Linked DNA regions of Arabidopsis thaliana. The protein of the gene in region 1 interacts with the protein of each later gene in a pairwise test. Each region holds a gene or a part of one and is shown in the gene's direction. Other genes may lie near its edges. The genes, in order: ARF12 and IAA30.

What was found.
Region 2: the proteins of ARF12 (region 1) and IAA30 interact in a two-hybrid assay, tested with the Arabidopsis thaliana proteins (one large-scale study listed by BioGRID).

What each region holds. Positions count from the first base shown.
Region 1 is NC_003070.9:12,507,971-12,513,499, reverse strand, and holds ARF12 (auxin response factor 12), read left to right. Parts: upstream 1-1,979; coding exon 1,980-2,028; intron 2,029-2,103; coding exon 2,104-2,222; intron 2,223-2,328; coding exon 2,329-2,424; intron 2,425-2,522; coding exon 2,523-2,579; intron 2,580-2,674; coding exon 2,675-2,818; intron 2,819-2,897; coding exon 2,898-2,982; intron 2,983-3,073; coding exon 3,074-3,164; intron 3,165-3,243; coding exon 3,244-3,408; intron 3,409-3,514; coding exon 3,515-3,628; intron 3,629-3,717; coding exon 3,718-3,790; intron 3,791-3,882; coding exon 3,883-4,021; intron 4,022-4,125; coding exon 4,126-4,538; intron 4,539-4,625; coding exon 4,626-4,813; intron 4,814-4,903; coding exon 4,904-4,952; downstream 4,953-5,529. UniProt on the Arabidopsis thaliana protein: Auxin response factors (ARFs) are transcriptional factors that bind specifically to the DNA sequence 5'-TGTCTC-3' found in the auxin-responsive promoter elements (AuxREs). Could act as transcriptional activator or repressor.
Region 2 is NC_003074.8:22,993,474-22,997,314, forward strand, and holds IAA30 (indole-3-acetic acid inducible 30), read left to right. Parts: upstream 1-2,212; 5' UTR 2,213-2,361; coding exon 2,362-2,728; intron 2,729-2,858; coding exon 2,859-2,955; coding exon of another isoform or gene 2,956-2,959; exon of another isoform or gene 2,960-3,065; coding exon 3,066-3,120; 3' UTR 3,121-3,336; downstream 3,337-3,841. Other genes in the region: AT3G62110 (Pectin lyase-like superfamily protein), read right to left, coding at 3,840-3,841. UniProt on the Arabidopsis thaliana protein: Aux/IAA proteins are short-lived transcriptional factors that function as repressors of early auxin response genes at low auxin concentrations.

The sequences.
Region 1 (5,529 bases):
AGAGTTTCGAAATATCTTCTCTAAAGGGAGTTTCTAAAAGGTTTTGCTCCTAAGAATAAAAGAGAAAAGAAGATTAGCCTCTCCAAGCTTAGGTCTAAACACCTTAAAATCTATATATAAATTCCTAAAATCGTGCAGGGACTTCTTTAAAATAAAAGAAACTTCTGGAGCGAATCTGCAAATCTTCAAAACTTCAAAGAGCGAAATCAAATTGCCATCAAATATCGGTGTCGAGCGTCACCATGAGTGGTGTGTTACTACTAGAACTTTTGAAGGTTAAAATTTTACTTAACTAAGTTTTTGTCCTTATAAAATTAATAGAATAGAAGACTAACATCTACATCAGTTTTTGATAAATAAAAAAAGGACATTTCAGACAATTATCCAAAGTTCTAATCACGACACTAGAGAACTCTATTCAGATAATCATAATCAATTATGAACACTCATTTATAAATAATATGGACCTGTTAAAAAAAAAAGTTGATAATAATTTTAGTGAGCAAGGATCAAATCCACCACCTTCTATCTGTAAGGGTAAGGGTAACTACCACTAGACTACAAAACTATTTTACAAATTTGATGCACACTAAAATAAATGTAGGATTTGCTGTCTAAAGCATGAACTTGCTGGATTTTAGGTATGAGCTAGTCCTGAGTGGCGTCATCTAATTTTGCCTAACCATGATTATTTTCCTTCAACTTCTAATATCGTCAAAAATAGTTTCATCCTCTTTCATACAAGCAAGGATTCTTCAATAAAGATTTTCAATCAAATATGTGTTATATGTCCTGACATTGTCTCTCTCCTCAATTGCAAGAGTCCCACACATATAATTGATTCAATGTTGCTTTGCCTAGGATAACATACAATAAAGAGTAAAATCATGAAATGAAGAGCGAGATAAATGAAAATTGAAGAGTTTTCATCTGAATTTTAAGAACAAAATAAAAGCTACAAATTTAAAACATAGAGCAAAATGATTGGATGACGTTCGGGTTGAGAGGCATCGAAAAGCTTTTCTACACTCTTGATGGAACCCATCATAAGCCATACCCCTTTGTAAGGCCAAACCACCACCACCAGTAATTAACCCCTGTTTCAAGGGCATTCAAATTAGGCATGAGATACATGCAAATTCACATCGTAACTAAATGAAAAAGGAAACATGGCCTTGGAGAATTCTCCAAAGAGCAACAATATATGAGAAAACGGGTTCATAAAAGATCTATAAGAAAACTTAAAGGGAAGACAAAAATAAATAAAAACTAACATGAGATGTATTATAGATCCCATATGAAATGTCTGATCACGACGCTAAAGAATTTCTATTCATGCAATCAGAATCAAGCAAAAACTTATATTTAAAATTTATATGGCTACTCTTAAACAAATTTCATAGAAAAATATATTTTGTTGTAAGTACTAAAATTTTCCTAAATTACTCAACTTATATATGAATAATGCATATGTTGAAAAGAAAAAGCAAACATGAGACGTACTATAGATCACATATGAAAGGCATCAACACGACACCAAAGAATTCCTACTCATGTAATCATGATCAAGTAAGAACTCCTAGTTAAATTTATATGGCTATCTATAAACAAATTTCAAAGATTTGTTTTTTTTTTTACTATGAGTATTAAAACTGTATTATATTACTCAACTTATATATGAATAATGCATATGTTGATTTTGGTAAGTTAATCAATAAATATATAAAAAAATTGATTTTATTATATGTAGTCAAAATATTAATGAAATTTCTCTAAATTACCTTTATTATTTTTTGGTAACCTTATTAAATTTAGTATTCAAATCTAAGGAAGTATTTTATTGTGTTTTGATACTTCTTACCTATAAATGTGATATTCTGCGCTCTCATGGTCGCAAGAGAAGTTGAGGAAAGAGAGAAAGTTGTATAATAATTGTTGAGATAACATATTTTGGTATACCGATCTTTAGATACGAGCTTATGGAAAGTGGCAACGTTGTGAATGCACAACCTGAATTATCAGGCATAAGTAAGAAATTTTAACTTTTTATTTTATTTTATTGAAAACTTGTTTTGGTTATAATTTTTAGTTTTTTTCCGGTAGTTGATGGATCCAAGAGCTATGTTTACGAGCAGTTATGGAAACTCTGTGCGGGACCTTTGTGTGATATTCCAAAACTTGGAGAAAAGGTTTATTACTTTCCTCAAGGTCACATAGAGCTTGTGAGTTCTCTCTCTCTCTCTCTCCCTCTCTTTTCTTTCTCTCTCCATCTCTTCTCTCTCTCTCTTCTCTCTCTCTCTGTATGAAACCTTTTAACGGGGTTTTCAGGTTGAGACATCTACAAGAGAAGAGTTGAATGAGTTACAACCAATTTGTGATCTTCCTTCTAAGCTTCAATGTCGTGTTATTGCTATTCATCTTAAGGTATATCTCTATTATGTTTTAGCGAATACGCATGATATGTATATTTAATTTCATTGTAAAAAGACGTAATTGGGTAATTGTTTGATGTTTGATTTTAGGTGGAAAACAATAGTGATGAGACTTATGCTGAGATCACTTTGATGCCAGATACAACTGTAAGTGAAAATTTAGTATTTCTCTTTTATTATTAGTTAATTCTATTTTCCTCCTATTATAATACACTGATTTTCTGATTTTGTTAAATGTTTAGCAAGTTGTAATCCCTACTCAGAATGAAAATCAATTTAGACCATTAGTTAATTCCTTTACGAAGGTTTTAACGGCCTCAGATACAAGCGCTCATGGTGGATTCTTTGTACCGAAAAAACATGCCATTGAATGTCTCCCTTCGCTGGTATTTAATGTTATAGTTTTTTAAAATAAATTTAAACTTTAATCTTTCATTAGACATTACATATTAAATTTTGGTTTAGGATATGTCTCAACCTTTACCTGCACAAGAACTTCTTGCTATAGATCTCCATGGTAATCAATGGAGATTCAACCACAACTATAGAGGTAATGATTCCTTTTATTCATATAATTCAAACACAACAATTGAGGTAATAAATCCTAGATAAATAACTAATAATCTTCTTATTCCATGCAGGTACACCGCAAAGACATTTGTTAACAACTGGTTGGAATGCATTCACAACATCAAAAAAATTGGTTGCAGGGGATGTCATCGTATTCGTTAGGTATATTATTGGGTTTTTTTATATATGGATTTTTTGGTTCTTGAGTTTTGGACTTTAAACTATTTACTTGTGGTTTCAGGGGAGAGACTGGAGAGTTACGAGTTGGTATCAGACGAGCAAGACATCAACAAGGGAATATACCTTCATCAATAGTATCAATAGATTGTATGAGACATGGGGTAGTTGCTTCCGCAAAGCATGCTTTTGATAACCAATGTATGTTCACTGTGGTTTACAAGCCAAGGTAATTCAAAGAACCATTTGAACTCACATTTTAGATTATATTGATTTATCAATAGATTAGTTCCTTCAACATGTAGGTTTATATTTTGTGTCTTTATAAGTATCAGGTCAAGTAAATTTATTGTCAGTTACGACAAATTCTTGGACGCTGTGAACAATAAGTTCAATGTCGGTTCAAGATTTACAATGCGGTTAGAGGGTGATGATTTCTCTGAAAGAAGGTAACATTAGATGAAATTTTTTTTCTGCTTAAATATATTTATAATGTCTAATATTATCTATGATAACACATATTGTTCAATTGATTAAGATGTTTTGGGACAATTATTGGAGTTAGTGATTTCTCTCCTCATTGGAAATGTTCAGAGTGGCGCAGCTTAGAAGTAAAATTTCATTCACACTTTATAACATTATTTTAGGAATACGTTTTTGAGTGCAATAAATAACATATCACTAATTAACTTTAATTTTGCAGGTGCAGTGGGATGAATTTACATCATTTCCGGGACCTAAAAAAGTGTCACCCTGGGACATCGAACATTTAATGCCTGCAATAAATGTTCCGCGATCATTTTTGCTCAAGAACAAGCGTTTACGAGAAGTTAATGAAATCGGTATAAAAAAAGACTCTTATAATCTTTTATTTAAAGAATTAATCTTCTATTTAATGAATTTGGTATTCTTGAATACCTTCTCAATAATCCTATTTTATATACAGGTTCTTCATCATCACATCTCTTACCTCCTATATTGACACAAGGACAAGAAAATGAACAACTAAGTGTTGCCTCTCCGATGAATATTTCTCTTCGTTATCGTGATGCAACTGAAGATGCTATGAATCCTTCTAAATTGCTAATGAGCTACCCTGTCCAACCAATGCCCAAACTAAATTACAATAACCAAATGGTTACAGAAATGGAAGAAAATATAACAACCAAGACAGGCACTAATTTTAGGCTGTTTGGAGTCACTCTGGACACTCCTCCGGTGATCAAAGATCCCATTGAAGAAATTGGCTCGGAGATTTCGAAACTTACTGAAGGAAAAAAGTTTGGTCTAAGCCAAACTTTAAGATCACCAACAGAGATCCAAAACAAGCAGTTCAGTTCTAGTAGAACTTGTACCAAAGTAAGTATAAGATCAATATACTCTTATTATTTATATATATAACTTTTTCTCATTGTACTCAACTCACGCAATCTTGATATGGAACAGGTTCAAATGCAAGGTGTAACAATAGGAAGAGCTGTGGATTTAAGTGTTCTTAATGGATATGATCAGCTAATACTAGAATTGGAGAAGCTCTTTGATATCAAAGGTCAATTGCAAACTCGCAACCAATGGGAAATAGCTTTCACAGATAGTGACGAAGATAAGATGCTTGTTGGAGACGATCCATGGCCGTAAGTTTCCTTTCTATTTCTATCGATTGAAAGATTAGTTAACATCTTGAGAGACATTGATATTTTATTTTTTGTGTTGTTTGCATGTAGTGAATTCTGCAACATGGTGAAGAAGATATTCATTCAAAAGAGGAGGTAAAAAATTTGAAGTCCAGGAAGAGTCTCTCAAGTTGAATTAAGAATCAAAACATATGTAATAAAAAGGGGTCGAAAATGTTACTGGTGTCTTGTTCTATTTTTATTTTTCTCTTATTTGTTGTTGCATGCGTTTGTATTATGTACTTTTGTTTTCATCATCCATAAATAAAATAAAATCCCCTTGTTATCGTGATATTGAGCTTTCTTTCTAATTCATACAATCTACATTCTAAAAATTTGAGTGTAGTATTTATTTTATGATATTTTGAAAAGAAAATTGTATAAGACGAAGTATATAGTCATTCAATAAATTAAAAATTTTACTTTACCTATTATTGTACTTGCAAAACCGGATATTTTGGAGACATAAACCAAATGATACTATAAAATATGTTTATATTTTTAATAAATATTTTCTGAAATCTATCATTGCAATTATGTCAGCACTCACAACTAGTTAATATATAATGATGGAACTAGGAAGTTCAGCCAATTCATATTCAAATAAAACTACTAAGTCGAATCATACATAAAATAAAGTATTATGTGAATAGATACTTCAATTATCATGATTGGAG
Region 2 (3,841 bases), on another chromosome or scaffold:
ACATATTGGTTATCTAGAAACAAAAGACGAGTACAAGATACAAAAAAAAAAAACAAAGGGGACAAAGAATGGTGTGGAGAAAAAAGTTTGAAGAAGAAAGAAAAAAAAGTGAGGAAATTGTGATGATAATGGTAGGGGTGGTGGGGAACATATCTCTTCTTTATCAGTTTCCCTTTTTTTTTTTCTCTCTCAAAAATCATGTTTGGAGTTTCTTTTGGTTCAAGCTAAATCTTTTTCTCTTCTTCTTTCTAATAGTATCTATTTGTTTCTTCAAACCAAACGATATCTACGCAATACATGTCGGTTATTGTGATAACGACATTGTTTGGATGTTTCGGGTTCAAAAGATTTGTATGAATGTGTATACTATATATGTTTTTGGCTCAATGATAAAGACACTTGATAAGAGATTCAGGATCGTTTCAAATTATTTTAAAAAACTATATATAATATGAAAAACACTTTAATACTTAAGAATACTATTTGTAATCCGTAAAACTTTAAGTTCTAAAACCATTAATTAAAAATAAGAAACAAGTTACGTTGTACATATAAACTAAAAGACGGAATGGAATATGATTTGATTGTAAAAATAACTTTGGACAAAATCTTCCAATTATAAAAGAGAGAACAAAGAGTTCTAATCATATTGATTGGTAGGTCATGAAGAAGCTTAAGGAGTGATTGTAGAAGAGTGGAAGTGGAGGCGACAAAGTGAGGAGACACGTGGAAAAAGGCACGTGACGTGGGGAACGTGAAATGTTGTCGATAGTGTTTACTGTCTCGTGCTTGCAAAACTATATGTATGTTTTGGAGTGTGAGAATTGTGACGTATCCTCAGTCCTTAGTCCATAGGCGAAGCATCTCTCATTAGCTCCTCTCTTTAAGGTTACGCATTCATTACTCATGCTTCCCTTCTCTCATTTTCTTTCTTTTTCTATATTCCCCTCTATTTGTTTCTTCGCTTCTAATTTATTACATGTAACGTACAAAACCAAGAAGCATGCACTTTTTTCTGGTGACCAAAGTTTAATATATCAACCGAATTGACTATACCACATACATGTTTCTATCTAAATCCAATGAATATTACACAAATAGAATCTTGGTGTGCCAACCAAAGAGAAGCATTTATTAAAGTCACTATTTTGAATACTAACGACGGATAAGACTAAGATCACCAATATGATGTGTTTTGGTCTCTGCCATGAAAAGATACAGAAATTCTGATTAAGATTTGTGGGAGATTAGCACCACTTGATTCACTTTGATTGCTACACATAAAAGGTTGGTAAATTGGTTTAGTATTGGAAAAATATAGTAGTGGTTGGACTTGACTATAGATGCTTCATGATAAGATAAATTAAAAGGAACAATCAAATTAGTAGAGGAGTGTAATTACTAACAGCGACGTGGATTAAAATCATGGAAAGCTCAAACTCTTGTCATGCTTAGATACAATGGAGTCCACGTAGACTATTTTCAATATTTTTTGTCATAATTAAAGAACATTATTAGAGAGTTAATGACGTACATGAGACGTGTTTAGCAGTTGATATTCAATTTAAAAAACATTTTGACATACTTTAATGCTAAAACAAAAACATTTTTTTTGCTTAAAGTGTCTCGCGGTTATAAAAAAAACCTTAATTATGGAAGTGTTGTTTGTCGAACCCACGAATGCATCAATGCGCGTCACGATAGTCTCATGCATTGAACTTGATTTTACTAAGACGGATAATGAAGTAAACTATGTATTGTACATTGGTCTACATTTATTTAAGAAAACATGTTCTTATCCGGTTTAGAACTATCTTGTCTACGTTCATATGATTCCTTAAATCTAAGCCTAAACTTTTTAAACTAAATCAGTCACAGTTTCTTATTCATTTATAGTGTTTTAACAAAATAATTCAGTTAATTCTAAAATCCAACCCTAATTATTTTATAAGAAATCAAACAATCTTTTTTCTTTTTTTTTTTGTTAAACGAAAGGTAGTACTAGGAGTCGAGTATATTTACATTGAAACAAACAAAATTTAATTAGAACACACCCAGCAAAAAAATCCGAGCACAAAGTCAAAACCAACACTTTGACCAAGTGTCTGCATGACACGTGTATTTGTCTGCTACATGGACAACATCTTTAACAACACTGTCTCATCATTCCACCATTTTCTTTAATTAAAAAAAAAACATATCAGAAAGACCATTCCAATATTATTACTTCTTCCTTTTAAGCTCTAACAATTAAATAAAAATTTCCATTCTCTATATATAATACACACACGTTCAAATCATTAATCACCTGTTTTAGATAAAATCATAGAGAGAGAGAAATAGTAAAAGAAATAAAAAAAAATGGGAAGAGGGAGAAGCTCATCGTCTTCATCGATAGAGAGCAGCTGCAAAAGCAACCCATTTGGTGTGTCTTCGAGTAATACTCGGAACCTAAGCACGGACCTGAGACTCGGGCTCAGCTTCGGATCATCTTCCGGACAATATTACAACGGTGGAGATAACCATGAATATGATGGAGTCGGTGCGGCAGAGGAAATGATGATCATGGAAGAAGAAGAGCAAAACGAGTGTAATAGTGTCGGAAGCTTCTACGTGAAAGTGAACATGGAAGGAGTTCCTATTGGGAGAAAGATCGATCTTTTATCTCTTAATGGATATCATGATTTGATCACAACTCTCGACTACATGTTCAATGCTTCAATCCTTTGTAAGTATCTACACACACTTAATTACATCTTTGCATGTAGACTTAGTTAATATTTATATTTGTTATACCTCTCTTTGCATGTATATAGTTAAGACCAAAACTAATGGCAATAAAAAAATTGTGAAAATAGGGGCTGAAGAAGAAGATATGTGTAGTGAGAAGAGTCACGTGCTAACGTACGCAGACAAAGAAGGTGACTGGATGATGGTTGGAGATGTTCCTTGGGAGTAAGTTCTTTTTTAATTTTAGTGTATTAAAAATCTCTAGTTAAGTATTTTTTTTGACATAATTATGTAAAAATTCCCTTTAATTAATGGGGACTTAATTGATTATGTAGGATGTTCTTGTCTAGCGTGAGAAGACTAAAGATCTCAAGAGCTTATCACTACTGATTTTCTAAAAGCAAACTTGGAAGAATCTAGGATTGACCAATACAGTCAGTGGTGGTGGGGGAAAAAGTTAGTTTTGTCTGAATGTAAATCACTTGTTCGAGATTTTATTCAAATTTTGTTTCTAGTTTTATTACATTTATAAAAAAATCGGTTGTAACTTGTAATGAAGCTATTTTTTTCAAGAAAAAAAGCTGTAGCTAATGCAGATCCTTTTTGGTTTAGTAGTTATTTTTATGGTTTTAGACATAGATTAGATAATACTAGAAATATGAATTGTTTTGGAACACTGCTGAATTAGGTTCATATTCGTATTCTAGTTTTCACAAAGTTTCAGTTGAGTTACTAGTTTAACCAAATCAAGATCTATTTCATATTTTCATACTATCATTTACTTCTCAATTCAACTATTTTACCGGAATAAACAGTGAAATATAGTTGTTCTAGTTATGGAATCTGAAATTGAAAAATAATTGTCAAAAAATTTCAACAGACTCTGTCGGAGATATTACAATTGTTCCGCTCACCAAAAGCATTAAAGCCCATACAAGGAAAACAAAAACAAAAACTCTTAAGCCACTCTGATTATTTTCCTCACTGCACACAAATTTACACGAAAACAACAAAAGATGAAAGAAAGCATCATTTTTCAAAATCGAAGAGGTTTCTTCAGAATCAAGCAAACTGTGTTTCCCCTTTGATGTTCAAAACTTCACAGTAACTT